Diceros bicornis minor: one gene and its partner. The protein of the gene in region 2 purifies or fractionates together with the protein of the main gene of each other region. This does not show direct contact. Links are inferred from orthologs where the notes say so. Each region holds a gene or a part of one and is shown on either strand. Other genes may lie near its edges. The genes, in order: MC1R and MGRN1.

The links.
Region 1: the proteins of MGRN1 (region 2) and MC1R purify together in Homo sapiens (affinity purification with western blotting; 3 studies listed by BioGRID). This does not show direct contact. The link is inferred for Diceros bicornis minor from reciprocal best matches to the Homo sapiens genes MGRN1 and MC1R.

The regions. Positions count from the first base shown.
Region 1 is NC_080771.1:38,236,822-38,251,173, forward strand, and holds MC1R (melanocyte-stimulating hormone receptor), read left to right. Parts: upstream 1-7,448; 5' UTR 7,449-7,951; coding exon 7,952-8,902; 3' UTR 8,903-8,937; downstream 8,938-14,352. Other genes in the region: ribosome quality control complex subunit TCF25, read left to right, coding at 545-624, 2,448-2,520, 2,841-2,999; TUBB3 (tubulin beta-3 chain), read left to right, coding at 12,209-12,265. UniProt on the Homo sapiens protein: Receptor for MSH (alpha, beta and gamma) and ACTH. The activity of this receptor is mediated by G proteins which activate adenylate cyclase.
Region 2 is NC_080765.1:43,952,600-43,967,818, forward strand, and holds the start of MGRN1 (E3 ubiquitin-protein ligase MGRN1), read right to left. Parts: upstream 7,807-15,219; 5' UTR 7,715-7,806; coding exon 7,627-7,714; intron 1-7,626. Other genes in the region: UBALD1 (UBA-like domain-containing protein 1), read left to right, coding at 13,372-13,491. UniProt on the Homo sapiens protein: E3 ubiquitin-protein ligase. Mediates monoubiquitination at multiple sites of TSG101 in the presence of UBE2D1, but not of UBE2G1, nor UBE2H. Plays a role in the regulation of endosome-to-lysosome trafficking.

The DNA of each region.
Region 1 (14,352 bases), on a different chromosome or scaffold from region 2:
AAGTGGGAGCTTTGTGTGAGCTGGTCACATGCGCGGCCATCCTGCTAGCCACTCAGCGCCCTGGGGGGTTGGGGTCATGTGCAGAGGCTCTTCCCCTTGCAGCCTGGGTTCAGTACTTGGCATGTTGAGAGGCGGAGCCGTGCCCATGCTGTCTGTGGACTTACAGAGGCTCCGAGCGGTGACCAGCAGCTCAGGCCCCGCAGCACCGAAGGGGAGAGCCTGGCGTTCTGGCGAAGGTCACGGTGTGTGGGCGGCGATCCGTGGTTCTATCATGTCCCCACCACATGCCCACTCTATCTACGGGTGTCGTAACCCTCTGAGTGGGCAGAGTGAGTGTCCTGGTGGAAGAAAGGCTGTTCCACCCCCTCACCCAACATGTCTTAGTAGAGTGAACACAGCCTTGCAGCCAAGGACCATTTCTGTCAGACTTACCGACTCCAGAAAGGTCCAGTCCAGATGGGAATCAGCTCGAGACTGCTGGGAGGAGGGCAGAGGCTCACCAGCAGTGCTCTGTGGTATCTCCGTTCTGTGTCCCTTTCTGAAGGATGTGACCACACAGTCTGTGATGGGCTTTGACCCTCTGCCTCCTTTGGACACCATCTACTCCTACGTCAGACCAGAGAGGTACCTCTCCGCCCCCGCTGTGCTCCTTTGCTTATACGGCGCTGAGGTCAGTGCTCCGGGGCTCCCTGGGACTCAGACACAGGCCTCAGAGAGCAGTGTGATCTGGGGCTGTGTTCTTTCACTTATTTGTCTAAGGTAGGAGCATTTCTGTCAGGTTCTGTAGCAGGTGTTGGAGATGTAAGATACCACCTCTGCCCTTGTGGAGCGCAAAGTGCAGTGGGGAAAATAGACATTGATTATAGAATCTAGAAGTAAACGTAGAAAGGAAAACTGCAGTAAGAAACTGCTGGGAAAGAGTGGTGGATAAGACTCGGAGAAGAAGAGATGGTTACACTGAAACATGAAGGAAGAATGTGCCTTAACCACATAAAGAGGGTGGAAGGGTTGCTGGCATTCCAGCAGAAGAATCAGCATGTGCAAAGGCCCTGTGCAAGGCACAGAGCACAAGGTACAGTCAGAGAACTGAAGGAATGCCCATGTGGCTGGCCAAGAGAATAGGGCAGTGGGAGCACAGCAAAGCCTGAGTCTGCAGGCTGCCAGTGGAGGTGTGGATGGCTTTCATAGTTAGATCATGAAAAAGCTTCTTTTTTCCTTTGTTTCTGGTCTTTAATGCTGAGTAACTGCCTTACCTAGAACACATCACCACAAAGCCATAGATCTGGAAGAGTCCCAGACCCTTTCCCATTTAAGGGAGCACGTGCTTTCTAGACATCAGGAGAACACATTTTGTAGAATGAAGTTCTTTCCTCCCCATCCCCACCCCCCATTTTCAAGCATTTATTCATTCATTTTCATTGAAGTGTAGTTGACGTACAATATTACATTAGTTTCAGGTGTACGACATAGTGATTCAACATTTCTTTGCATTACGAAATGATCACCACAACAAGTCTAGTAACCGTCTATCACTGTGCAAATTTGTTACATTGTTGACTATATTCCCTGTGCTGTACATTACATCCCTGTGACTTATTTATTTTATAACTGGAGTTTGTACTTCTTAATCCCCTTTGCCTCTTCCACCCAGCCCCCACCCCCTCCCTCTGGTGACCACCAGTTTGTCCTTTGTATCTATGAGTTTGTTTCTGTTTTGTTCGTTTGTTTTTTAGATTCCACATATAAGTGAAATCTTACGGTGTTTGTCTTTTTCTGCATTTTTTTCTCACTAAGTTGTATTATAGAAGTTGGATTGCGTGTTCACAGGGAAGTAGTTCCCAGTTAAATTCTCCAATAGATTAAGAGGAAAATTATTAATTATTATTGTCAGTGGGTTCACAAAAAGCTGACATGCTAGACATTGTGGCGCTGAGGGCTGGTTGCAGGACTGCTGACTCTGAGCTTTGTCTGCTGTGCGCTCTGTAGGCCATCAGCTTCCAGGCCTCCTTGACTGTCTAGTGACGAGGAGGGGCTTCGCTTCACAGGCCCTAGAATCTTCTCTCTGTATAGGACCAGTTCATCTTCCCACCACTCCTAAGTGCTGAAGAACACTTGGAAACTACACCTTTTCTTAAAAGCAAGGCACCTGCCCAGTGGCAGATACGTAGCTTGGCTGTGGTGGGCCAGGACCTGAAAGGCCAGGCCCCCACTCTGTTAAGGCCTGAGCAGTCTCCTCAGTTGCCTTTGGGTGCCCACAGCCCACCCCAAGCTGATCAGAGTCTTGGCTGCCCACCTGTCTGTGGGAGCCCAGGGCCGCAGCTCAGCTCCTCCCCATCTCCCCAGCTGCTGCTTGGGGCTGCCTTCCTGGAACCCTGCCAAGATGGGGAGGGGACACAGAAGTATCGGTTCAGCTTCATTTTCTGACCTTTCTTGATTTTCTTTTCCAGGCTAAGTCCTGTCAGCCACGGAAACACGATCGCCCTCTTCTTTAGGTCGTTATTGCCAAATTACACCATGGAGGTATGTTGAGCATATCTTGGCTCTCCCTGTTGAATGGGTTCAGGCAAGTCCGTTTTGGCCCCAGAGCCTACTGGGGCCAGCACTGCAGCAGCCCAGGGGCACCCAGGGGCGTGCCTGCCCGAGCCTGTAGCTGCAACTTGAGCTAAAGCCCCTCGAGTCAGCACGGCTCCTTGATCCACTCTGGGCCTGGCCTTGTTAGACGCGTGTGTTTGGTTTTTAGGAGCTTCCTCTCCTTGACAGGGTCCTGGGTAAGGTGGGGTGGGAGCTCTGGGCCCGGGGGCCCAGGACAGCCCTTGCTCAGATGCATCTCGTTGCTGCAGGGGGAGAGGCCAGAGGATGGAGGGGCCGGGGTTCTGAACCATAACCAGGGCTTGAACAGGCTGATGCTGGCTGTGCGAGACATGATGGCCAACTTCCACTTCCACGACCTGGAGGCACCTCGCGAGGACAACCCCGAGGGAGATGGGGAGTGGGACTGAGTCGGCACAGATGCCCGCCCCAACGCTGTACAATTATGTTCCTGATTTCTGTTCTGGTCTGAATTGGCCAGTTCCCTGAAGTAGAAATACTGATGTGTTGTCCGCCTGCCTCTTCTGTTTCTCCCATAAACATGATGGGTTATGTTCTGTGCGACGTGAGCTCTCCTTTCCCGGGGCTGGGGTCTGTGCCCAGTGCAAGGCAGGCAGGTCCCAGATCTGCACAGCTCCCCGAGGTTTCCCAGACGAGAACGTGACCCACAATCACACACCGAGCCCAAGCCCTAGCCAAGTCCTCCCTCCAGCCACCCTTCCCTCCAGAATTTGGGGCACAGGGGTAGAGAAGGGGTCTCACAGGTCTCTAGTGCAACATCTCTGCTGAACGCCATGGGGTGTGCTTGCAGTCGGACCCTGGAACAGGCTGGCCCAGGGCTGGAGGGGCTGACACCGGGTCCTCACGCTGGGCACCAAAGACACAGAATCCGTCCAGTCTGACACAGTTGTTTCAGTGGAAAACTCCAGGGCAGTGCCGAGGCAGAGGGGAGGCCGGAGAGGTGGGCTTTGGAAAGGATGTCCTGGCAGTTCTGGGGGATGCACATGGCAGAGATTAGGGGGCATTTGATCCGGGGGTGAATGGAGCATGGGGGCAAGGCTCGTCGGCTGGGGTGGGTCCTGGCACACTTGGTTGACAGCTCAGAACCCCTCGGGGCTGCCTATGACTCAGGAGCCTGTTTGGTTCTGGAAAGATCCAGGATACCAAGGTTGTGAGCTGCCCGAGGTGTCCTGTCCAGCAGGCACCCTCCTGGCCCTGACCTCCACCCCGGGAGGCAGCAGACATGGGTTGGGAGGAGACGCTGTATATGTGCTTTGGGGTAGAATCTGGGCCCCAGGGCGGTCATCTGTCGATGTCTACCCGAGTCCTGGTCCATCGGCCTGTCTCCCAGAAGTCCCCAACGGCGTCCTGGTCATTGATGTGGAGTCACCTACTGGGGAGACCTGTGAAGTCATCCTTTCAGCAGATCTCAACTGAGGGGCTCCCGGTGTTTGGGAATCAACAGACCCTGTGTTTCAAACACCCATGGCAAGGGTGCCCCTGCAGACACGGTGAAGTCTGTCTGTCTTTCTCACCCACACCTCATTCCGTGCCACCACAGTAAATTGGTGGGAGGATCCACACCCAGCTCCAGGGGTCAAGTATGACTGAGATAATCCAAGCCTGTCTTGGGTCTACTGTCCCCCACTGGAGTGGCCTGTGATCAGCTTCAGCCAGGAAAACAGGAGTCTGCTGGAGGTCTTCTGGGAAAGGGTTTGTTCTCTGAAAACAATAGGTAAGCGAGGAGAGCGTGGCATCTTGCATCTTCCAGCCTTAAGTGCATCCAGGTAGGGATGTGATGTCTGGAGCTGCAGCAGCCATCCAACCAGGCAGGAGTCAATGAACTTTAAAATGAAGAGCCAGTGTCCTTGGGATAGTGCAGCAGAAAGAGGCTGGGCCCAGCCTGTGATGAAACTGCTCACCTCCGGCCCTGCTGTCCCAAAAGGTCATTAAATCGTCAGTGCTCAGCCATGCTGGTCATATCAGGTCATGTTTTTAGTGGAGATGAGGACAACCAGGTCCCTCCCAGCGGAACACTGGCTGTAAAGGCTTGGCTTGCCACTCAGTGTCCAGGCAAGGGTAAACCAGCTCCTCCAGGCCCGTGCTGCCCATGGGCAGGATGGCTAATGGGTTGTGCCCTTCCCCACGGAGTCAGGCCCCACCTCAGGGTCTTCAGCGCAGACACCACAAGGTGGGCACACAAACCACCCCCCTCCCCGAGTTCAAAGGAAGCTAGACGGCCCTTGCAAGACAGCGTGACCCAGCTTTGGGCTGGACCTTCCTGAGATCCCACTCGACGAGAGCCAGGAGGGGCAGGCTGCACCCCCGCATGGCTGCTCACGGGGCTGTGTGCCTTCTGGCTGGCTCTGGGAGACCTCTGTGAAGGAAGCAGGGGCTGGCCTGGGCCTTCTGGTCAGGCAGTCACCCCCACCTCCCTGGTGTGGCCATGGCTGGATGTAGGCACCCCCCCCCCGCCTGCTCTGCAGTGAGAGGCTTTTCACACCCCACCTCCCCCACAGAGCTTGCTCACGCGTTGAACGCTCATGTATTGTGGACCTACGGTGTGCCTGCACTGTTCTTAGTGCTGGGGACACGAGTGCACAAGACCAAGTGGGTTCCTGTCTCAGCCTCCCCACGTGTGGGTCCAGCACATGGTCTCGGTGGCATCTGCTCTGAGGGGACAATTGTGTCCACCGCCTGTCTCCTGGCTGTTCCTCACTTCAGTTTCTCCCAGGTGTACTGGAGATGGAGTTGACATAATTGGCCTATGGAATCTGTGATTTCATTTAGACCCTTTCCCCATAACCATAACTCCTCACAAAGTTGACTTTTTCCAGCTCAGCCATGTCTGCTGTCTCACTCCCATGGAGTCCCCAGCAGGCACCTCCAGATGAAGAGTCGTGAGGCCTCACCAGGAAGAGGGCTGCGGTCGCCTGCCAAAGGCTACCCGGTTCTCACGCCCTTTGAAGTCTCAGGCTGGGCAGGGGGGCTGGGGTCAGGCATGTCCGTCTCAAAGGCTTCATTTATGGAGCTAGGAATACTAACATCCCTGAAATGTGATGACACAGAAGCTGGGGGCAGGGCACTGCTCACCCAGCAGACTCTTGGTCGGTGCCCCAGAGGTGGAAGGTGGTCCCAGGCAGTGGACAGCTGCAGGGGGAGTCCAGACTCATGTGGCAGGGACGCTGGGGCTTCAGGGCAGCCACCTGGGCCTGCCACTGCTCTGCCCCATGATCATGGCCTGGGACCCTCTGCTTCCTGTGGGGCTCTCCACCAGGAGGAGCAAGTGAGGGGGCAAAGTCCACGGGGGGCAAAAAACTGGGAGGGAGTGTGTGCTCTGTGGGCCCATCCTGGGCCTGGTTCCTGGGGAGCTTGGGCAAGGCCATCCTTCCACCCTCCTCTAGGTGGGGAGTGGGGGGCTCGTGCACTGCCGGGAGCAGGCAGACGGGTCTACCAGTTTGGAAAGTGGTTTGGTTGAATCTGCCAAAGCTGAAGATATGCCTCTGACCACCCCCTCCCAATCCTAGTGTCACCCAGCGGACATGTCCACCACCAAAATACGGGACGAGAATGCCCAGCAGCACTGTTGGTAAGGGGAGACACAGCACCCGAACACCCAGTGTGTCCATCCGTTACCAGCTGCGGCACAGTCTGGGAAGGAGAGGGTTCGCACTACACGCAGCTGCAAGGACATCTCAGTGCTGAGCCCCCGTGTATGAAGTTCCAAAAGAGGCAAATTAACCTCGTGGGCTCCCTGGGGCAGGAAGAGGGGTTCTGGTGCCATTCATGTTTTATTCACTGATTGATCTGGGCGCTGCTTTCCAGGCTGTGTTTAGGTTGGGGCATCACCAACCTGCATACTTAGAATCTGTGCTCTCTCATGTACTGACGTACTTCAATAAAAAGCACAAACCAGGCAAAGGGAGGAAGAGCTTTGTAAGTTGTGCAGACACGAGGAATGACTCACGCAAGTGCGTGTAACGTGGGCGTGCGGGCACTGCCTGTCGGAGGCCATCTGGTAGTCAGGTGGATGTGGGCCAGATTTTAACAGGCAGATCACAGATACACACGATTTCCAGACACCGAGACCTCCTTCGGAACTCCCTCCCAGCTCCGCCTCCACCATGGGCTTGTGTCTGACTTTGAACAAGCCACTTGCCTTTCTTGCTGCCTCGTTTTCCCCACCTGTCAATGGGAAGAACAGTTCCTTCCCCCCACCTCCGCCTTCAAAGGAGGGTTTGTCCTCAGTCTCAAGTGAGAAAGTGCTGGGAGTGAGGCCAGCCCGGTGCCCGGGGACATTCCCCACGCTGCTTGGCTCGCACAGTGCCCCACGTGGCTGGAGACAGAGGTCTGCCCTTAAAGTGGCTCCTGGCTTGGCCAGTGGTGTCTTTGTGCAGAGGACATGGGGCCGTCAGGGAAGGACTGCAGCTCTGTCCCTGCCCCTCCCCCAGGAGGAGCGTGAGCGAGGTCTCCTTCAGCCGCTGTGCCAGGGTGCCCTCCAGCAGTGCTCAGCGAAGGGGGTGGGGGTCTTTGGGGGCAGGGTTGCCCTCAGTGAGCATCTAACATTGGGTGGGGGGTGAGGGCTGAGGGCTGAGGGCAGACAGTCAACAGCCAGTGACTGTTCCTGAGGCAGAGCAGCTTCAGGCAGGCTAGGGGATCAGGGGCAGCTTCAAGGAGGACGTTGTGTTTGCCACAGGCCTGGAGGAGGCTTAGAAGTCTGGGGGCAGGTCCAGAGGTGGCCCCACAGGCACAGACACCTGGAGTGGAGGCCTGGCTGGGAATGCTGGTTGGCTGAGCACAGGCGAAGCTGGGAGCACGAAGGGGAGAGTCCCGCTGTGCCCAGGAGTCTGGAGGCCCTGGGTACCATTTGCGCCACCTGGCGGCAGGCGGGGTGCCGTGGGCACTTTCTGACGATGCCTTCCCAGGCACACGCGCATCATGTGGCCGCCCTCAGGAGGAGGGACTCCACGGAAGACTTTAAAGATGCGGAGAAAGGCTCCATTCTTTCCAGGACCCCAGCCCACTCCGGGTCTGGGGAGGCAGGAGGCCCCACAGACCAGAAGGCAGCAAGAGCATACAGATGTGTGACCTGAGCGACAGCGCCTCCAGGGAAGAGGTGGTGAGGTGGGCTGAGGACCCAGAGGGAGATGCCAGAGCCCAGAGGGTTGGTGCCACAGAGCTTGGGGTCCTCACTGGGAAGTGACCAGACTGGTGGAGAGGCCGAGCTCTCTGGCTAGGCCATGCTTGGGCCAACCTATGTCCAGCCACGGAGAGGGTGAGCCTGAGGTTGGCCCTGGGGGTGGCACCATGAGCTGAGTAGGACGCCTGCAGAGTGAGGACCCTTCCTGCTCCCAGAGGGACTATGTCTGTGCAGGGCCCCCCGAGGAGGCTGCTGGGCTCCCTCAACTCCACCCCCGCAGCCACCCCCCTCCTCAGGCTGGCCACCAACCAGACGGGGCCCAGGTGCCTGGAGGTGTCCATTCCTGAGGGGCTCTTCCTCAGCCTGGGGCTGGTGAGCCTGGTGGAGAATGTGCTGGTGGTGGCCGCCATCGCCAAGAACCGCAACCTGCACTCTCCCATGTACTGCTTCATCTGCTGCCTGGCCGTGTCCGACCTGCTGGTGAGCATGAGCAACGTGCTGGAGACAGCTGTCCTGCTGCTGCTGGAGGCCGGCGCCCTGGCCACCCGGGCCTCGGTGGTGCAGCAGCTGGACAATGTCATTGACGCGCTCACCTGCGGCTCCATGGTGTCCAGCCTCTCCTTCCTGGGCGCCATCGCCGTGGACCGCTACATCTCCATCTTCTATGCGCTGCGGTACCACAGCATCGTGACGCTGCCCCGGGCGTGGCGTGTCATCACGGCCATCTGGGTGGCTAGTGTCCTCTCCAGCACCCTCTTCATCGCTTACCACAACCACACAGCCGTCCTGCTCTGTCTTGTCAGCTTCTTTGTGGCCATGCTGGCGCTCATGGCAGTGCTGTATGTGCACATGCTCACCCGGGCGTGCCAGCATGCCCAGGGAATCGCTCGGCTCCACAAGAGGCAGCACCCCCTGCACCAGGGCTTTGGCCTCAAGGGCGCTGCCACCCTCACCATCCTGCTGGGCATTTTCTTCCTCTGCTGGGGCCCCTTCTTCCTGCACCTCTCGCTCATCATCTTCTGCCCTCAACACCCCACCTGTGGCTGCGTCTTCAAGAACTTCAACCTCTTCCTCACCCTCATCATCTGCAATGCCATCGTTGACCCCCTCATCTATGCCTTCCGCAGCCAGGAGCTTCGAAAGACACTCCAAGAGGTGCTACTCTGCTCCTGATGAGGGGAAGGTAGCCTGCGGGCCAAGGCCAGAGGGCTGGGCAGAGGGGGGTGGTGACATCGTGGGGCTCGATTCCTGTGTGACCAGGGCAGTCACTTGCCAAAGAGGGTGGCCTAGACGATCTCTGAAGGTGTGGACGCGTGGAGCCTCTGGGGCAGAGGGAGGAATAGCATGAATCTCCAGGAGCAATTGTGGGGAATGGAGGAGGCTGGGGAGACGGTGGGGCCATGGGCACCAGGGGCAGATCCCGGGCTCCTGGACAGACACTTGGCCCACTCCTGGAGAGCTTCACCTCCACCCAGAGGCCAGGCAAGAACCCACCAGCACCCACCTTTGCTGCCAGCTCAGGGACTTATGCCCCTGCCCACCCACTGGGATGTGAAGTGTCTGTGTTGGCAGGGCAACAAGAGCCGATCAGAACTCTGGCTCCCGACGCAGGCCTCAGGAGACGGGACTGTGTGACCAGCAAGACCCCACCTCGAAAGGCTGCTTCAGGAAGAAGTGAGCTCCTGCCTGGGGCAGAGGGACAGTATTAGCCAGCACCACAGCAGGGGTGGGGGGCAGGTCGGGGGGTGCTCATCTCTTCTGACTCAGTGGTAACTGGAGAGGTAGGGCTCAGCCCATCTGTCTGTACCACACATGGCCAGCAGACAGCGCTGGCCAACGCCTGCTCAGGCTGAGGCAGAGGCCATCAGTCCAAATCATTGACCGGCAGCCAGGGTCTCTGGGCCCGGAAGCAGTCTGGTAATAAATGCTGTGCTTAGTGCAGCCTCATCTTGATCTGCCTCAGCTCCTTCCAGAAGTTGCTTGAAGCTTGAAGGTGGAGGAGCAGGGGCAGGGCAAGAGCAGGGATGGGAGTGATGAGGGGGGAGAAGTAAGACCCACAAACCAGCCAGAAAGCATGGCTGGCCTGTGTAGGTGAGGACCACCCAGGAGAGAGCCTGGAGACCTCAGTGGCACCTACTCTGACCATGAGTCTTTGCTTTCTCTCTGTGGTACAAACCCCAGCCCAGAGCAACTATGTGAGGAGCAGCAGCTGCCCTGCCCCAGTCACCTCCATGGTGGCAAGACTCAGGCACTGTCCAGGCTGCCCTAGCTGCAGCAGAAGCAGGACCACTGTGACCCCTGTGTGACCTTGGCCAGAGCATGCGCCTCCTCTGCGTCTGCTTTGAGGTGCCCTGAGGGGTCTACAGTGCAAGGGGTGCCGGGGGCTGGAGTCTGCTCTCCTCCAGCACTGCCCTCCTGGGAGGGGGTCAGTGCTCAGCCAGCCCTGGGAGGTATTTGAGGCAAGACCCCCCCCGAATGGGGTGAGGCTGTCCAGGGGCCGCAGGGGGTGTCCAGACCCAAGTCCTGGGGGAGTGGGTAGCTGGGGTGGACCATGCTGTCTGGGGGGGGGCCGGGAGCCCTGGGCTCTCGCTGGGGAGCCACCTGGTTTCTTCCACAGTCACTGAACACACAGTCGACCTCTTTCTTGGTACAGGCTCAGTGGAGGTGAAAGTGATTGTATCAGCCGACTCCAAGGCAGGTCTAGTAATGCCTGCAGCTTCCTGTAGTCCCCTAGCAGTCCCCCCCAGCTCTGCTCCAGCCAGTCCCCACTCCACGCACACTGGCAGCTCCAGCCCTGACTGCTGGCCTCCGGGCTGGGAGCCGGTTCCCGGCAGGGCCAGACTTTGCTGGGAGACAGGACGGTGAGTCAGCCTTGAGCCCGGCACCAGAGCCCTCTGGGGATGGAGGGGGCCTGGCCTGGTGCCATCCCACAGGGAGGCAGGGCGGGTGATGGGTCCTGGCCTACAAGATGCTGCAAAGCTTCTTTGCTCAGACAGGGAGGTGCAGCCAGATCCAGAGAAGAGCCGAATGCTCACCAAGGACCCCCTGAACGGGGACAGGGAGGGGCCCCAGGTGGCCAGAAGCCAACCACAGAAAGCCACATCATGGACACATTGTGGGGGAGGGGCATCTCTTGAGAACAAAAGACCCACTTCTAGACTTGCTGAACTGGGGAGCTTCGGGGGCAAAAGGGGCACATACACAGCCACACCACGCCACCACGCTCCTGAGCACACAGACTGGACACAGGCACGCCCACGGGCTTGTTCAGCCGACTGCTTGTGGAACGTCCATACACTGTGGCTGAGACACTTCCCGGAGGATTTTGTTGCTGAATTATCAGAAGGACCTCATTATAAGGTGGTTTCACTTTAACGTCTGACCCTAGGAGATTATTAAGCCAGTGGTGTATGTGTGTGTGGCACTATGTCCGTACTGCATGTCCATCTCACTCACTCCCTTCTCTCTTTCCCAGTTTTTCACCCTAGAACCCCCACCTTAGGCACATGCCATCTCCCTACATAGCCCCACACACACAGACACTGCATTGCATTGGCCTCACCTGGACCAAGAGTCCAGGAGTACCGGTGACATCAGGGAGTGAGTCAGATAGAAACCACCGGTCACCATCCCCCACCAGTCAATCCCCGGCCTCGTTGTGTCCTTATGACAATTCCTGATACAATATGCATTGAGCAGTGGCTGCCAGCATCCCCACATGCAAGGTCCATGTGGAGTCTTACCGCAGCCCCCTAGGGGAGGAGGGGCAGGTGGCATCCCCCTGCAGAGGACAGTGAAACCAGAGCTGCCACAGTAATGCCCGCTGCTCTCCTATGCCCACAGCCCTTCTGACTCAGATGTTTCTGAGCCCTGCCTCATGCTTGCTTTCTTCTGGGGGCTCACTGGCTGCTGCACCCTTCTCCTGCCTCCCCCACCCCTAAGGGAGCCAGCAGAGCTCAGAGTACCTTATCTGTCCCTTCATGCCACAGACAGGGAGCTGGGAGGCGTCCATCTTGGCCTTTCGGGTTGGTAGATGGGGTTGGTCCCTAAACCGGTGTGGGGAAGAAAGACCCTCCTTGAAAAGCCTTGGGGTGGGGCTGCAGCTGGTGTGGGACCCGAGAGGGCAGGCGGGGCGCGGTCGGAGGGCCAAGGGGACTACTATTGTCCTCCCTGGAGTCCGCCAGCCCCTCCTTTCGGGTGCGCGGGGACCCCGGACTCCGCCCGCGGGGCCCTCAGACCCCGGTGGCGGCGGGAGGAAGCCCCGCATCGCGCGGCCGGGCGGCGATGCGCGGTGCTGATGCTGCAGGGCCGGTGGCGCATTCTGCGGCGGCGACTAGCGATTGGCCGCGCGCGGTGACGCCAGGCCGGCGGCGGGCGGGGCCCCGCCTATAAGAGCGGGCGGCGGGGGCTGCCGACCCTCCGCAGCGAGCCCCGGCCAGTCCGCGCGAGTCCCGCAGCCGCCCGCCACCCGCACCGAGCATGAGGGAGATCGTGCACATCCAGGCCGGCCAGTGCGGCAACCAGATCGGGGCCAAGGTGAGGCCGCGCGCCGCCCCCAAGCGCCGGGCCCCGCGCCCCGCACCCCGCGTCCCCACCCCGAGCCGACCCCGGAGGGAGGGAAGCAGGGAGGCGCCGTGCGCCCTGAGCCGCACTCGCCGCTGAGAAGCCGAGAACAAAGGAACGAGCCGGCCCCGCGCCGGGCGGCCGGGACGCCGGGGTCCCCTCCCTGCCCCTCCCGCCCCGCCTTTCCTCTGCCCTGCCGGTGTTCCCTCGGGCCTGCGGAGCGCAGCGCAGGTCAGGGCTTAGCTCCCTCCGCAGCTGCGCCCTCCTCCACCGGACGAAGCAGGTGCAGCTGGGGGCGCTGTCTGGGTGTGGCCGTCTTTTCTGGGGTCGCAACTCAGCCCTGAGCGAGATGGGAGGGTTGGGCTGGTTTGGGTGGGGCTCCTCCGTCAAAGCCATAATGATTCCCTCTGCCCCCCCGCCCCCAACCCCGGAAAAGGACGCCCTCCAATGCCGCAGAGCCATCCCCATGCCCCCAACCTCGTTCTAGCAACCCTCGGCTTCCTGGCCCCACCCTGTTCCTTTGTTGGGGGAGGAGTTGGGTCCGGACTCAGGGTGACCTTGGTCCAGGACTGGAACCTCCCTTAGCACAGCCCCGCCTGGGCAAACCCCCCGCGGGGTTGGACCGTGCCCACCTCGGAACGGCAGAGTCTGGGGGTTGGGCGTGGCAACAAAGCCGGGCTCCGGGGATGGTTCGCTGCACCGCCGCGCGGCCTCTCCCCTCCATTGTTAGCCCAACTCACAGATGTTGGGACTGAGGCAGGAAGGGGAGGTGGCGTAATCCCCATCCGAACCCAGGAGGCGAGTGTCACGTCCTCAAGTCCGGGTGGCTGTCCTTTGCCCAAGGTCACAAATAAGTGCGAATCCCAGCCGCGCTGCCCTCCGGCGCTCAGTCTCTGCGGTCGCCCAGCGCGGGGCTCAGGCTAGGTGGGGTCTGCTGCCCAGAACAATGCAGGGAGGGGTGGCTTTGTCAGGACCAAGGCCAGGGACCCAGCGCGGGTTGATGTCGGGCTGGTTCCCGGAAGGAGGCGGTGGGAGGAGACGGGTCCTGGAGGGGAAGGGGCCGAGGAAAGGCTTCCTCTGGAGGCTGTTGCCGTGGAAACCAGGCAAGAACAAAAAGCTAATTACAACGGGACTGGGGCAGCCAAGTGGCTGACATGTAAATTGCATCTTCGCTGTAGGGTGGATGCGCCTCGGATGGGGGGAGGCGGTAGCGGGGAGACTCCCTAATCACCGGAGGAGACAGCTGTGCCCGCCCGACGTCGGGGGCTGGGGGAGGGGGAGGCCTGGGGGACGATGGTCTCAAATTAAATCAGGGCTCGTGGGGCAGTCGCTGACAGCTGCCCTGGCCAGGTGGGAGGGGCCCAGGGCTCATTAATGTGGTCACAGGGGCCAGGCCTGCCCTGAACATCTGCTCCTTGGAGGGTCAGGGATCACTGTGCGGAGGGGCACACCCCTGAGTCCCTCCTGGGTCTGGGGGAGTGATGATCCGATTGTGCCCCCTCCTATGGCTGGGCCTAGCACACACCAGGCAAAGGCGGCTCCACACCCGGCTCGGTGGGCGGCGACAGGGCGGAGGCAGCGGCCTGAGTGCTGGACAGTGTCCTCCGCAGAGATTTTTTTCCTGCTTCTCAGCGCTCTGGCCCTTGGGTTTGCTCATTAGTTATTATTCCTTTTGAGTTGATTTTCTTAATTTACGTTTGTTTTTAAAATTAATATCTGATCCTTTTTAACAATTCAAACAAAAGAGAGGTGGATTGCGGGGGGGGGGGGGGGGGGAATCGTTTCTTCCTTTCCCACAGCTGCCCTCTGCGATGACCAATGGAAGGGTTGGGCAGTTTCCTTAGGGCCTCCCTGCCCTGGAAAGTCTCCAGCGACCTAACTGGAAGAAAGTGCTCAAGGCCCCGGGGCCAGGCCCGGTGTGGGGTGTGGGGTGTGGGGGATCTGGCTGCCCAGGAGCTCGGCATCGGCCCTGTGGATGGGCAGTTCCTTGGCCATCTTCGTTCCCCGCTCCCATTCTGGTTGTGGGCTCCCTGGTGGGAGGAGAGCAAACTTCTCCTCCT
Region 2 (15,219 bases):
TGAACTGTACACCGAAAATGGTTAAGACAGTCACTGTTATGTGTATTTTACCATAATTTTTAAAAAGAGTGAAAAAAAAAAGGACCCAAAGAAATCAGACTCATAGGCACCAAAGCCAGTCACAAGAGCATCCATGGTGGCATTATTCACGAGAGCCCAAAGCGGAAATTCCCCCAACGCCCCTCCACGTGAACCGACGACACACAGTGGCATCAACAGACACTGGAATACCACGTAGCAGAGAAGAAATCAACCACTGCCCCTGAACACTGTCAGGGCCCCTCATCACTGAACGTGGAGGGAAGAGTGTCCAGTTCCACTTATATCAAGCTCAGAAACAGGCTGTCAACCCACAAAAACAGACACCAGTTTTAAGAGGCAAAGCGTTTATTTGGGATCAAAGAATTGCAATTCAGGGAGGAAACAGTCAGGTAGAAATCCAAACAGTGTCCTGATTACAGGAGAGGGGCTTAGGGTTTTTACTGGAAAAATGGAGGAGGAGGTGAGTCGTATTAAGGAAGAGTTCACTGGTGCTAGATGAGGTCAGGCTAGGTTTGTACTTCACAGATTGGCCTGAGGTTCGGTCATCAGGCAAGAGGCTAGACTTGTGCTTCATCGACTGGTTAGCGATCCAGTCATCAGAAACGTCCAGATCCATCAGTTCTTACAGACAGGAGATTCTTGTCCTTACTGACTTCTTGGAAGGCTGGCGGTTTGCTCCAGTTTGGAAGATAAAGAAAACAAGACGTGCAAGGCAATTCCTCTGAAATGGCTGCTCCGGCTCTATTTTAATATGGCTCCACTCCTGTCATCTTTCACAAGGCAAAACACATCCAATGGAGTCAGGAGGCCGTTTCCCAGGGAGGGAGGCAGAGATGGGGAAGGGGCACCACGGGGCTTCTGGGACGGCTACCATTCTATTTCTTCAACGTGATCATTCATCAAGCGGTACACTTATGATGTGCACATTTTTTAAATGTGTTACACTTCAATTTTAAATATATCTGTGTGTATATACACACACATTTTTTAAAGCACTGAACTGAATACAATTCCTTCTTTTGATTCCCCCTGAAGGCACCCAGCGGTCGGTCATTCACGGAGATCACATGGGACAGGAGATCCGGGAAACAGAGAGCTGCATTATCAGAACAGCCAGAGCCAGCACAGTGGTCTCTCACCTCGGGAGGCTGGCTCTGCAGATGCGCAGCGCCCAGGACCAAGGGGGAAGGCCCAAGTCGAGATGGAGCCAGATGAAAGGACTGAGAAAATGGAGTTCTTTCTACCTGGCCTTAGGCCTTCTTTCAGACACAGAGCTAGACAGACGTCCAATGTCAGTCATTTCACAAGCCTCTGGCTTCCTCACCTTCGTCTATGAGAAAGCAAGCCAACTAATTTCTTACTAGAGAGCAAATGACCGCTCTCCCACGCTGTTCCACCCATCGGCTTTTCTGCTAAGAGCAGAGGGGCACCACTGCTCACTCATTCCTCCTCCGACACCATCCTGGGGAGATGGTCACCCCCGCTCAGGGCACAGGCCAGGGCTGAGCCTGGTTCCCCCCACCTCTGAGGAGCTGGGCAGCCACGGGGGCAGTTGGCAGAGCTGAACAATTTCACAGTTATTTACTAAGCCCCCAAGTCAGGTGCTGCAGGGGTGGTGTATGTGACACCATCGCCCTTCATTTTATGGGACAAGAAAGAAATGTGAGGCCAGATGCCTGTACATGACCACACGGGAAATGCCCAATGGAACATGGCCCCGTGCAAATGTCTGGCCCAGCAGCACTGGGTTTAGGAAGTGAGGCAGGCAGCAGTGGTCTCTGCCCGCCGGGGTCATCCAGGAAGTCCAGGATGTTCACGAGGAAACTTGCGAGTCCACTGAAAAACACAACCTCGGTTGGGCCAGGGCCAGGGCTTGGTCCCTCCCTGCCCGCTCACATGGACTCTCAGAGTCAGAATGGCAAGAGGCCTGGGGATCCAGAAGTTAACACGGGTGCAGCTGGGGAAACGGGGACCCAAGAGCAAGAAAACTGGCTCAAGGCCACAGTATGTTATTGGCAGAGCCGGGGCCAGACTCGGCCTCAGGACTCAGAATCCAGTGCTCCTCCCATCACACCACTACAGGCTGAGGGTAGAAAGGGACAAAGGACTGTGCGCAGCGTGTTTGTCTTCACAGTGCTAAACTGATCTTCGACTTCCCCGCCCATGCTTGTGAAAGGGTGTGTCGTACACACTGTCGAGTCCACCCCAGCTGCGAGGAAGAAAACACACGCACACATGCACACGCCCCTTTTCTCCCGGGCAGCCAGGCCCTCAGCCCCATGGCGGCCTGTGGACAGCAGCAGCCACCACCCGGCCCAGGGTAAAGGGCCCACTGGCCACCAGACCAGACCCGCCCGAGCTCGGGCTTTCCTCAACTGGAATGCGGGCTGTGTGGGCTGCAGAGAGCACAAGTTCCAAGGGCCGAGAGAGGTTTTATTACGTTTCAGCATGAATCATCCAGCAGGGGAATGTTCCACAGAGCCCAGGGAGGGCGAGGCGGGCAGGAGGCGACTTAGAGCCAGGTGATTTTCGAGTCATCAGAAAGGGACAGTTTCTCAACAATTCCCAGAAAACTATGAAAGGTCCCCAGAGTCATCGCGCCCTGACACACATGGAACTGAGTGACCGAAGCGGGGACCTCAGAGACGAACACACAGAGCTCCGGGCCCTCTCAAACCCTGACGACAGGTGACACTCCAACATCAAGGCCCCACACACCTCAGCTCCCAGTGGCCACAGAGCCCCAGTGCCACCAGCAGGCCCCTAAAGCCACGCCCCCTCAGCTGCTGCTTCAGGAAACAGCTTCTCAGCCGCCCAGCCCCCCACGGCCAACTTAACAGTTGTTTTGTTGCTGTTTTTACCCAAAATATAGCAACGGAAGCCGGGAAAATACAGCTTATTTGTACAGCTCCTACAATGATAAAATCCAAACCAAGTTACCATGAGCAGAAGCACAAAACTAGTTCTGATGTGACTGGCACAGGCGACACTTGGGGAAGCTGAATCTGCTCACGGTGCCAGCGGTGACGGTGCAGGTCTTTGCACGGGGGGTGGGGGGAAATCCCTGTGTGCAGGTGGAGCCCCTTGGTCCTGACCTCCCCATCCCAATGCCACCAACGCGTGGGTCTCACACTCTTGGGACAGTGATGGCCCACGGACTCAGAATGCCCCCAGTGACAGAGGACACCCTCAGTGACACAGAATGTTGTCCCTCGTCTAGAACACCTGCCTCGGTTCTTTCCTTCAGGAGCCAAGTAAATCAGAGTCGGCAAAGCCTTACTCTGGAAAGGGTAAACCCAACACAAGTGTGGAGCATGAGTCGCCGGCTGCGTTCACAGACATTTCTAGACTGCCATCAACACAAAAGCACCCGCAGCAAGTCTAGGACATCCATCACATGGCAGCAGACCCAGGAGTCCTCAGACCCCCGCCTGACACCCCATGGATAAGATGCAACCCAGTCTGAGCAGCTTGTACACTAGAGAGAGCAGGTCTGCTTTCTGCAGTAATGATGCTGCATAAGCATCTACTAAATGCCTACGGTGTGCCAGGCCCAGGTGCTGGGCGACAAAGGGCTCAGTTTGATTTCTAGTTCCTCCACCAGAGAGGACAAAAGTCTGGTGTCACAAGGACACGGCAAAGCTCCAATAAGATAATGGCAGTGAACATGCTCAGAAAGCACACGCACCTGATATGCAAAGGTTTAGGTCTTGGGCATAGTCCCCCTCCCGGGGCTGGTGGGTCACAGGGCCGATGGCCCCTCCTTCTGACACTTCTCTTGGGTGATCTGGTCCCAGCATGACCTCCCTCAACACCAGGGCAGGGCGGCCGGCATCGCTCTGAGACACACAACAGTAACAAGAGCAGCAGGAGGAATAACCGTAGCAGCAGCTGCCCAGGGCCAGGCCCCCTGAGTGGGCACCCACCGTGCTCTGGCTCTCTTCTGCATGTGGGACACAGCCTTCTCTTTAAGAGCCCAGCTGGGGACCGGCCAGCTGTGTGACTGGGGCAAGGGACTGCAGGGCAAGGGAATGCAGAAATAAACCCTCACATTTATAGTCAACTGAGGTTTGACAAAGGTGCACAGGCGATTTGATGGGAAAAGCATAGTCTTTTCAACAAATGGTGTTGAAATAAATAACAATCCATATGCAAAAAAAATGACCTTAGATATTTACCTCAAACCATACATGAAAAAAATTAACTCAAAATCGTTCACAGACCTAAATGTATGAGCTAAAATTATAAAACTTCTAGAAAAAACATAGGAGAAAATCTTTGTGACCTTGGGCTAGGCAAAGATCTCTTAGATATAACTCCAAAAACATTAACCATCAAAAGAAAAAACTGATAAATTGAACTTCACCAAAATTTAAAACTTTTGCTACTCAAAAGATACCATCAAGAAAATGAAAAGATAAGCCACAGACTGGGAGAAAATATTTGCAAATCACAGAACTGATAAAGGAGCTGTATCCAGAATACATAAAGAACTCTCACAACTCAATAAGATGACAGACAATCCAAGCTTTAAAAATCAAATAGAAGACAAACAGACATTTCTCACACACACACATGATATACAAATGGCTAATAAGCACAGGAAAAGATGTTCAACATCATCAGTCATCAGGAAAATGCAAATCAAAACCACAGTGAGATACTTCACACCTACTAGCATGGCGATAATCAAAAAGACAGACAATAATAAATATTGGCAAAGATGTGGAGAAATCGGAACCCTCATACACTGCTGGTGGGAACAAACGTAAAATGAGGCAGCCACTATGGAAAACAGTCTGAAAGTTCCTCAAAAGGTTAAACACAGAGTTACCACATGACCCAGCAGTTCCCCTCCTAGGTGTACACCCAAGAGAACTGAACAGGGCCACGTGAATGTGTGTAGCAGCATTATTCATAAGAGCCAAGAAGTGGACCCAAATGTTCCTTAACTGGTAAAGAGATAAACAAAATGTACTACATCCTTACGATAAAGTACAGACACGTGCTAAAACATGGATGAACCTCAAAAACACACTGAGTGAAAGAAGCCAGACACAAAAAGACTCCATGTTGTATGATTCCATTTATATGAAACGTCCAGAAAGGGCAAATTTTAAAGACAGAAAGCAGATTAGTGATGGAGCAGGGGTAGGGACTGACTGCAAACAAGTACAAGGAAATTCGGGGGGATGATAGAAATGTCTAAAACTGTGCTGATGGCTGCACAATTCTACAAATTTACTAAAAATCACCAAATCATATGTTTACAATGGATAAGTTGTGTGGCACACAAATTATACCTCAATAAAGCTGTTAGGAATAAAATAAACAAGTACTGGGGCCGGTCCCGTGGTGTAGCGGTTACGTGCGTGCTCCGCTGCTGGTGGCCCGGGTTCGGATCCCGGGCGCACACGGATGTACCACTTCTCAGGCCATGCTGTGGCGGCGTCCCATATAAAAGCAGAGGAAGATGGGCACGGATGTTAGCCCAGGGCCAGTCTTCCTCAGCAAAAAGAGGAGGATTGGCATGGATGTTAGCTCAGGGCTGATCTGCCTCACAAAAAATAAATAAATAAATAAATAAATACGATGAAAACAAAGTAAATGTTATTAAATTTGAGCTAGGTACTGTTGCAGTGCATGCGGAAAGTTCTGACAGATCTTAAAAGTTCTCACCACAAAAAAAAAAAAGGTAGCTGTGAGGTGATGAATGTGTTAACTAACCGTATTGTGATAATCATTTCCCAATATATACATATATCAAATCATCATGCTGCACACCTTAAACTTCCACAATACTATGTGTCAACTACACCTCAATAAAGCTGGAAAAAAATTGGACAGCATTACAGGGGTGTTCAAAAAAACTGACACCCAACGATTCTCTCTGATATAATCAACAAAATTGACAGAGACATGGAAAGAGAACAACTTTCTCATAAAGTGATTGACGAGTCCATGGGGGCACCCCCTAAAATCCTCTCAGACCCCCTGCAGTGCCCAGTTGACCTTGCAGAAACATGCTGAAGTACTGCTAAGGTCCCTTCTGCCTCCAACTCACCATCCCTGAGCAAGGTGGCCAAGGGACGAGGACACAGAGAGGACAGCCTTTGGACTGGACAGGCCCAGGAGAGCACTGCTGTCACCTGCAGCAAAATCAAGGTGGCCCGTGGCATTCACCTGGGTGCCAGCCCCAATTCATTAGTCGTGGCTAACTGAGGTGTTTGTTAATGGATTCTGAAAGCAAGCCAAGGCTCAGTGGGAAAGAGTGTCCTGACTGATTAGCAAGGTAGCATGGTCGGCCAGTCGGCATCCCCAAGAGCATGGTAGTCTCCACCTCCTTTGTTTCCTGTAGCCCCAGACACTCATCTTTCCTCTTCCAAAACCAGGGCAAAGCAGTTCCAAACTTGAGTGGACATCAGACTCACCTGGGGAATAGGTTTTAAATGGGGGTTCCTGGACCCCAGCAGGTCCGAGGCCAGGCCTGGGAAACGCATGTTTTACAAGCTTCCCCACAGATGGGAGCAGGTGGTCCTGGACCACACTCAGAGGAAGCCTGGCGTAGTGGATGCTGGCAGGCCAACTGCGAGGCCTAGAAGACCAGAACATCAGAACAGATGCTTCAGAAGCCAGGATGAGAGAGGAGCCAATCTGAAATTCCCCCATGACGTCCAAAACCCTTATCCTCTTCCCTCCTTTGCATAGAAAATGACCAGATGAGGCGATGGAGAGTGAGGAACAGGAGCTAAAGTTCTGGGTCAGGCCACACACATCATTAGAGGCAGCAGAACAGAGTGGGAACAACTCATCTGGGCGTCGGGGTCCTGGTCCTGGTCCCAAATGTGCTTCCACGCAGCTCTGAGACCTTGGGAAAGTCACTTCCTCCCCAGTGGCTCAGGTCTCCAAGCCACAAAAAAGGAGACCAGAAAGCCTGGAAGGTCCCCTCCAACCATTCTCCTGTTCTCCAGCAAGGACTCCTAGCCTCTCTCCCACAGATTATAATCGTATCCTTGGGCCCAGTCGCACTCCTCCCACCACCCACCCATCATCCACACGCCAGGAGGTCACAGGAGCTAAGCCTCTGTCTAGATGGGATGGAGAGTGTCCAGAACCAGTGGCGGGGTCTTCACACCAAGCCACCAAAGAAAGCCAAAACTGGCGATGGTGTGACGTCAATCTTTTTGACAACGACCACTTTGTAAGCACAAGCCACGCGCCGGGCACATCCAACCCCTCGCCAGCGTCGTGGCTGGCACCTCACCCTGGCCCTAGGAGTTTCCTACTGAGAGTCTCCCCACTGCGCAGACAAGGGAGCTGAGGCGCGCAGGGGCGAAGTGACTGACCCAAGGTCAGTTAGCCGGGACGAGGCAGTCAGCCGAGGGCCTCACCTCCGCCCCGGAGTCCGGGTCGAGGGCGCGCGGAGCCCCAGGCAGAAAGGCGGCAGGGAGGGCCGCGGGCCGAGCAGAGCCCCCACGCCACCCTCCGCGGAGTGCCCGCGCGGGCGCGCCCTGTCCCCGCGCCCGCCGCCGGAGCCGCGTTCCGGCCCGCGCCTCTCCCTCCATGCCCGGGGCCGCCGCTCACCGGACTTCGGTGGGTAGCGATATGCCGAGTTCGCCTGGATGTCGATGTCCTCCACGCCCGCGATGCGGCGGCTCAGGATGGAGCCCATGGTTCGCGGCGTGCCGGGCCGGGGCCAGGGAGGTGGGCGGCGGCAGCGTCCTCACGCGGACATGGCCCGGACCAGGCCGCACGGACGATGGCCCACGGCCGCGGGCGCCTCGGCCTCGGAGCCCCCACCCGTTCTGCCCCTGGCCCGACGCCACGGCGGCCCTCCGCCCCCCGCTCCCGAGGCACCTTGGGAAATGGAGTCCCCTCGCCGCCGAGGGCGCCCGGCTGCGGCGCAGGAAGCCCGCCTAGAAACAACATTTCCCAGGATGCTCCTCGCCCGGGCCCTCTGAAGGTGTTGACAAGCGCTCCGGGACAAACCAAACGGACCTGAACCCAGAGGGGAGGAACCATCAACCGCATCGCAAATTGTCCTTCCCTCGGCATTCCAAGCACCGCACTAACATCGTAACTCTTTAGCCTCCTAACAGCTTGTTCATACATAGACCCTTTTAGGAACCCAACGCCTTCCATTTACCCCCCTCTCTGAAATATCTCCCTGAGCCACCGTGTTTCTCCCCACTTCCCAGGGTTTATCTCCTGCCTCGGCCAGCAGAGGGCACACCTTTACCTGCCACCCAGAAAGAGCCGGGTTGGCATCCAAGCTTACCTGGAGAAGCACATTTTTTTAGCCTTTTCTGGAACTCAAGGCATCTCTTAGGCTCCACGTCCAGTACAATTACTTTGAAGACATAATTTTACAGCCCCCCCTCCACATACACACACACAGAGGCAGTAGGCCTCTCCCCATTTTACAGTCAGGGAAACTGAGACACAAAGAAGTGAGGGCCGCATATAAGATGCTAAAGGCAAGCTGGCTAGAATTAGGGTCAGGATTAAAGCCTCGCAGGTTGCAATGTACTTTCCTGGCTTTTGACTCACACAAAACTCTGTAAGCAGGCCAAGTGGGGATCTGTTTTTACCTACTTTTCAGTTGAGAAACTGGGTTTCAGTGAAGAAAGTGACTTCTCAAGTCAACCCTGCTGTATCAAGAATGCAGCTAGAGAGGGCAGCGGCTGGCTAGGAGTCTCAAATGGTAAATTTACCACAGTCCACGTTAAAATGAGTCCCACACCCTTCCAGGGGCTATTGTCAGGGGACCTGGGAAGCCCAAACTAAGAAAAGAGGTGAAGGACTTGGGTGATTATGAGGGAGAGTCCTGGTCTTGGAGGAGCATGATTAAATCTCTGCCCCACAACCAAAATCCTCTTTTACTGAGCACCTACTACGTTAGGTTCTATTTTCATTCCCAATTTACAGAAGAGGATAGTGAGGCTGGGAGAGGTGAAGTGCTCCACTCAGGTTGCATAGTAGGTAAGTGTTAATGAAGCTGGAATTTGAACCAGGCCACTCCTTTTACCAACACACTCCCCTGCCACCCCAGAGACAGGAATTCTCCAATGTGCCAGATTTCATGTCCCTTGCCCCCAGATGGGCGTGAAGACAGCCCCACCCCGTGTGATCTTTCTTTCCTTACTTTAAATTTCTTTCTGTTAAATCACCTAACGTATGTATAGATACACACATACATAAACCAACACTGCATTCAATTTAGTGGCTTCCCTGTTTGGGGGAGGGAGGGAGAGTCCTGAGGCCCCTGATGTTCCCACTGAAAAATAACCCTAAGAGCCTGTCCTCCCTATGGACCCTGGACCAGGGCAGTTGTTTCCACAGGCTGGATATTTGATTAATTAAACATTCCTCTTAATAGAGCTTTGGACTTGGAGTGTATTTTTCTGTGCTTATCCACGCCCTATCTGGAGAAAGGGAAACAGGCTCTTTCTAATTTGGTACTAGTTCTGCTACCAACATCTTGGCTGATTCATTTATTTATTCAGCAAATGTTTATCATGCAGCTACTATGTGACAGGCAATGAGCCAGGCAACAGGGATCAAATGGTGGAACACTAGACCTGGAGCATGCAGGCTAGTGAGGAAAGACACTAAAGAGGTGAACAAGCGTATAAAAACAAAATGTGGTGGGTGCTCTGGGGGAATGGATTGAGGTGTAATGAAATAATAGGAGAGACCTCCTATTGATAGAGAAGTCAGGAAAGGCTTCTCTGAGGAGATGACATTTAAGCCAGGACTTGAAATAGAAGAGCCAACCAGGCAAACTCTGAGGGAGTAAGCCAGTCCCTCATGATGTGCAAAGGCCCAGAGGTGGCAAAGAGATGAGTATGATCCAGGAGCTCAAAGGCCAGTTTGGCTGGAATCAAGTAAGGGGAAGAGTAGAGGAACAGAGGTCAAAAGTGGCCAGATCTCAAGGCCCATCAGTCAGCCAGCACTGGGTGCTTTGAAACATAAAGGAAGACCCTGGGCACTGGCTTCCTGGTGTGAGTCCCTTGAGTCTAGACTTCTCCTCCTGAGGGGGCGGGCTCCTCACCTATTCATTCTTACGCTCCCAGAGCTGAGCGCCCAGTGGCTGTCTGACAAACACTCACACCCATGGAGTGATGAAAGGGGGCGGGGAGAAGGTGGCCAGTGGGTGCTGGAAAGGCCAGGGCCCTGGGCCCTCCATTGACTGGCTATGCCAACTTTGGCAAAGCCCTCTATCTCCCTGGACCCCAGGTAAGATGAGGGCATTGCCTTTCAGAAATGCCTTTTATCCCCCTTCCCCCCATCTACTGGCCCCAGCTGTCAGGCCCCATCCAAGCCTGCTAAGAAATCCAAAGTCCACTCTCTAGCCAGGCTGATCCTGCCTGAAAACAAGGTTGTTTTTCCCTTCCCTGCAGCCCTTGGGGAAAACAAGGCTGATGGGGGGCCACAGGGGCCAGAAAAGTGACCTTCACTCCTGCCAGCCCCATCTGCCCCACCCCAGCCAGCTGGCTGGCCTGGAAGAGCTCCTTCTGGGCTGGGCAAGCCTAGGCAGGTACCTGAGAGGTGCCTGGAAGAGGGTGGGGGAAGGGGTGAAGGTACTTCCTGCCTCCCTGAGCAAGAAAAGCCCCTAGTGGGCCCTGCCAGGACAGCGCCCACTCTCCCTTGCCAGAAACACACCCTGCTGGCCCACTGGGTGCCTGCTCTTCTCCACTGGCTCTGAACACCTGCAAGAGTGTAAGGTCCAATTCCAGCCTCAGTTTCCTTATCTGTAAAATGGGGATTGGGCCCCCTAGAGTGGTCCAGATGGAGGCAAAGAGGCAAGGGCAAGAAATGGTGCCCTGAGTGCCAGGCCCATGCTGAGCACCTCCCAGCCATTAATCCTCCACAGCAGTCCTGGGAGAGCTCCTCGCTCTTACCTTGTTCTACAAATGAGGAAACAAGCTCAGAGCCGGAAAGTACCTGCCAGCCACCAGAGCCATTAGGTGTGGGAGTCACGACTGACAGCCAGGCTCCAGAACCTGCTCACCTTCCACCATGCCCTGTTGCTGTCCCAGTGGTAACAGCGATAGTGGTCCATACTCAGAGCTGCCTACCCCGGGCCGAGCACTTTGCCCACATTAATTCATGCTTGTGATGCTTTGCGCAGGTGAGGGGCCCTTCTTAGTAAAAGCAGAAATCTCCTAGCACCATCCAGGTTTGCAAAAAGTGGTGGATCCTGAGTGATCCTCACGCAGCAGAAGAGGCCAAAACCTTATTTCCCAAGTGGACAGGCAACTTCTGCAAGGGCTGAGGTGCCCACCTGGAAGGGGACACTGGGAGTCCTCTCTCTGTCAAAGGGCCAAGCTCCCAACTCTAGCCCTCAGGGGCCACTAAGCAGTCTCACTGTGCCAAGCTTCCCTCCCAGAAGCTATCCTGGTGACTCAGCCTCCACCCAACCCCGACATCTTGCGACCTTTCAGACTTTGTCGACCAGTCCCCCACATCCTCTTTCCACTAACCCAAGCCAGAATCCCTGGAAGGGTTGAGGGACCCAGGAAGGGCTCCCCAGAGAACATTGAAGGCCCTCCCCCAGCCCCCAGTGTGGGACACTTCCCTTCATTCAGTCCAATTCTGCAGGCGAGGCGCTGAGCAGGCGCGGACTCCCTTGGAACCAGACACACCTAGAACACGGCCTGATCCGAAAAGGACCCCTCCGCCACCATCTAGTCTCCACACTGCGGCAGCCACAGTAATCCTAATGCGGACAACGGATCAAATCTGTTAAAACCCCTCAACGGCCTTTAACCCACCACCTCCAGGGCCTGTGCCTGCTTCCCGAGTGCACGCTCCACACTTGCAATCTTATATCTGTCCTTGGGATTTGTGACACACACCCCCACCCCAGCCCCGCCACCAGCCGACAGGTCTCGGGTTTGCTCTCGTCCAGGTCAGAGACAGGCACGGAGTGAGGGGACAATGAACAGTCACTCAACGAATGAAACTCGGGCCCAGAGAGCGCAAGGAACCGGGACAAGGTCATTCAGAGCGGGGTTGACTGAGCCAAAACTCGGCCCGGTTCCCCACCCCGGCGCCCCGATTCCGGTTCTGAGTCTCTCCTACCCGCGACATCAACCGGAAGCGGCGCGTGCGGGACTGTAAACACAGCCCGCAACGCCCCACCCCCTTGCTCTCCAGCCCCGCCCCCGCCCGCCACGTGACGCGCCCCCGCCCGCCTCGACCCAGTGCCCGCCCCCGCCGCCGCTTCATTGGGCGACCAGCTTTGTTTACCTTATATGGCCAGGTCCTAACACTCTGCGGCCGTCCATTGGCCGAGGTGCGGCCTCACTCACTTGACGTCATTTGAGACCGAACGATGCAAATAAACCGGGGCATTCTGGGAATAGGAGTTCAGGGCTGCGCCGGAACTGGCTCCGCGCGGTCCTGGCGCCCGCCTTCCCAAAACCGAGATTTCCGGCAAAGCGCACGGGATTTTGCGTGGGAAAGTGGGAGCACCACGGGGAAGGGACCCTGACGCGCCAGAACCTGCCGGCCTCGTCTGCCTGTCCCGGGCGCCATCCCTTCCCCAGACCTTCCTGGGGCCTACTGTGCGCCTGGCCGAGAGCCAGTCGAGGTGGAGGTGGTAACACTTGCATCACGAGTGGGCGAAGTGAGCTTGTGCTCGAGGCGTTGGGGAGACCGGAAGGCTTCCTGGAGGCGGTGACATTGAGCGGTGACATTGAGCAGAATCCTAAAGGGCAGATTCATTCATTCATTCATTCACTGAGCGAGTATTTATTGGCGTCTACTGTGTGCCAGGCTTTCAAGGCCTTGCGTCCTAGTGCTTCCGATTTGTGCCAAAACTCCTAGGGCCCCTCTCCAAGGGTGCACCCACTCAACACAGAGGGATGCCTACCACACTGGGGTTCGAGGTCCCGGGGTCTCGGCAAAGACCCCTGTAGCCGGCGTTTGCGCCCATGTAGTCTGTGGCCCCCGCCTGCTGACCCTCATCAGTGCCAGGCAGGGGCGCAGGTGCCCCCAGAGCCGCGGGAGCGACCAGGACGTCCCCAGCTCTCGTCTCGGGCCTGGGCACGTGCGGCCCGGCTCCGCACACAGTGGGCCTCACGCTTCAGACACGCCCTCTCCCCAGCCCTGCCGGCGACAGCTCGCCCGCTCGGCCCGGCGCGGCGGAAGTGGCGGGACTACAACTCCCAGGGTGCCGCGCGGCCGCGCGAGGCGAGGCTCGGTGAGTCAGAGCCGCACAGTAAATATTTGTATTAGCCGGAGCCGGCTCGCTAATGGTGGACGCGTGAGGCGGAGGAGCACGGCGGGCGGGCGGCCGGGGGGCAGCGCGGCGGCGGCGCCATGTCCGTGAACATGGACGAGCTCAAGCACCAGGTCATGATCAACCAGTTCGTGCTGACGGCGGGCTGCGCGGCCGACCAGGCGAAGCAGCTGCTGCAGGCGGCCCACTGGCAGTTCGAGGTGCGCGGCCGGGCCGGGCTGGGCCGGGCCGGGGGGGCCGGCGCGGGGGTCCGTCCCGCGTGGCCGCGCGTGCCGGCTGGTGTGGACACGTGCCGGTGCGCGCTCCGCCGGAGCCAGGTCGGGCCCGCGCACTCGGCCGGGTGTCCCGGCGGCCGCGCGCCCCCGCGTCCGGGCTCCGGCGCGCACACGCGGCGTGCGGGTCGGGCCCGGCGGCGCGGCCGCGTCTACGGGGCCCCCGGAAACGCTGCCCGCGTGGGGTGGGCAGGAGGGGCGACCGGTCCCTGCCCTCTCGATTCCCCGCTCCCTGAGTCCCCAAGCGGTCGGGATGCGGCCGCCCCCCCCTTTTGTTCGGGTAACGGCCAGGGCGGGGTGGCGCAGCGGCCCGGACGGACAGTCGGGCGGCCGGAAGGAGGACGCCCCAGGCCTGGGCCGAGCTGGGCCTGCGCCGTCCCCACCTAGGGTGCCGCGGGGTGGGGATGAGGGGTCCCGGGGCCCGAGGGCGCAGCCGCCGCGAGCGTGTGGATCTGAGGGTCTGCGTGCCGGTGTGTTCACGTACATGTGCATTTGTATTTACGCACGCGCCGCGCTACGTGTGGGCATGTTGGCGTGTGTGTAAACACGCAGTGCACCCGGGCCGCGGGTGCGGCGTGTGTGCGTTCCGAGTACACACACGTCGCCGTTCTGCAGATGGTGCCCACGAGTTTGCACAGACGAGTGTACCGGTGGTGTGTTGGAGCCCCACACTACAGCTCCGGCTGTGCATCTGTGTACTCCGCTCCAGAGCCGTGTCCGGGTTCCCTCCTCGTGCTGGCAGGGGACTTTTCCCGCACGGTGCACGAAGTGGTGTACACGGTTCAGTAGCTTTCAGCCAGCTGGGCAGGAGGTGGGGCTGCCCCAGTCTGGCCCCCACTCTCCAGGCCTCCCTGACCCGTAGAGCTCTAGTGCCCACGGCTTGTGCTGCCAAGAGGCCACCTGGCTTCCCTAACTCAACTGGCCCCATAAATAACTCAGGGTGGTATCCAGAGATGAGGCCAGAGCTCCCTGAGCCCCACCCCTCACAGGTGTAAGGTCACAGCCCCAGCCGGTCTGTAGTGTCTTTGCGCAGCGGGGGCCCAGAAGCCGGTTTTACCGGTGGGGAGCCATCCCAGGGAAAGTGTTTGTGCCTGCAGGAGGTACCAGGAGCCAGGGCACTCTGGGGCTCAGCTTCCTGGGGGGTGGGATGGAGATCGCCAGTTCGGACAGCCTGGAGGAGGCAGTGGCCTGTCCACTCAGAGGAATCCTTGTATTCTTTTCTACCAGAGATCTTAGCGGAGACCAGCGGCCCTGTGTGGTCCTCCCACCTCAAGATGGGAGGCTGCTCTGTCTCTTTGGGCAGTCTCTTTCTCCTCTGGTCTCAGTTTCCTCCTCTGTACCTTGGGGGTTTGAGTGGACCTCTAAGGAGTGAATGGCCAGCTCCAGCCCCGCCATCCCCCAGGCTGGCAGCCCCACCCTGCAGGAAGCTCCCTAATCAGCCAGTTTGTCTGAAGGGCTGGATGTGGCAAAACTTGCAAAACCACATTCATGGCAGTTTGCTTGAGTCCCACATCTGCAGACATGGCCTCCCTGCCTGGGGCCGGGCAGGCAGGTGTCTGGTGGGAAGCGGCACTCTCAGCCCAGCCCACAGAGCCTGGCACCAGCCAGGCCATCGCTCAGGTAGCACAGGTTGGTGTCCTTGGTCCCAGGAACTGA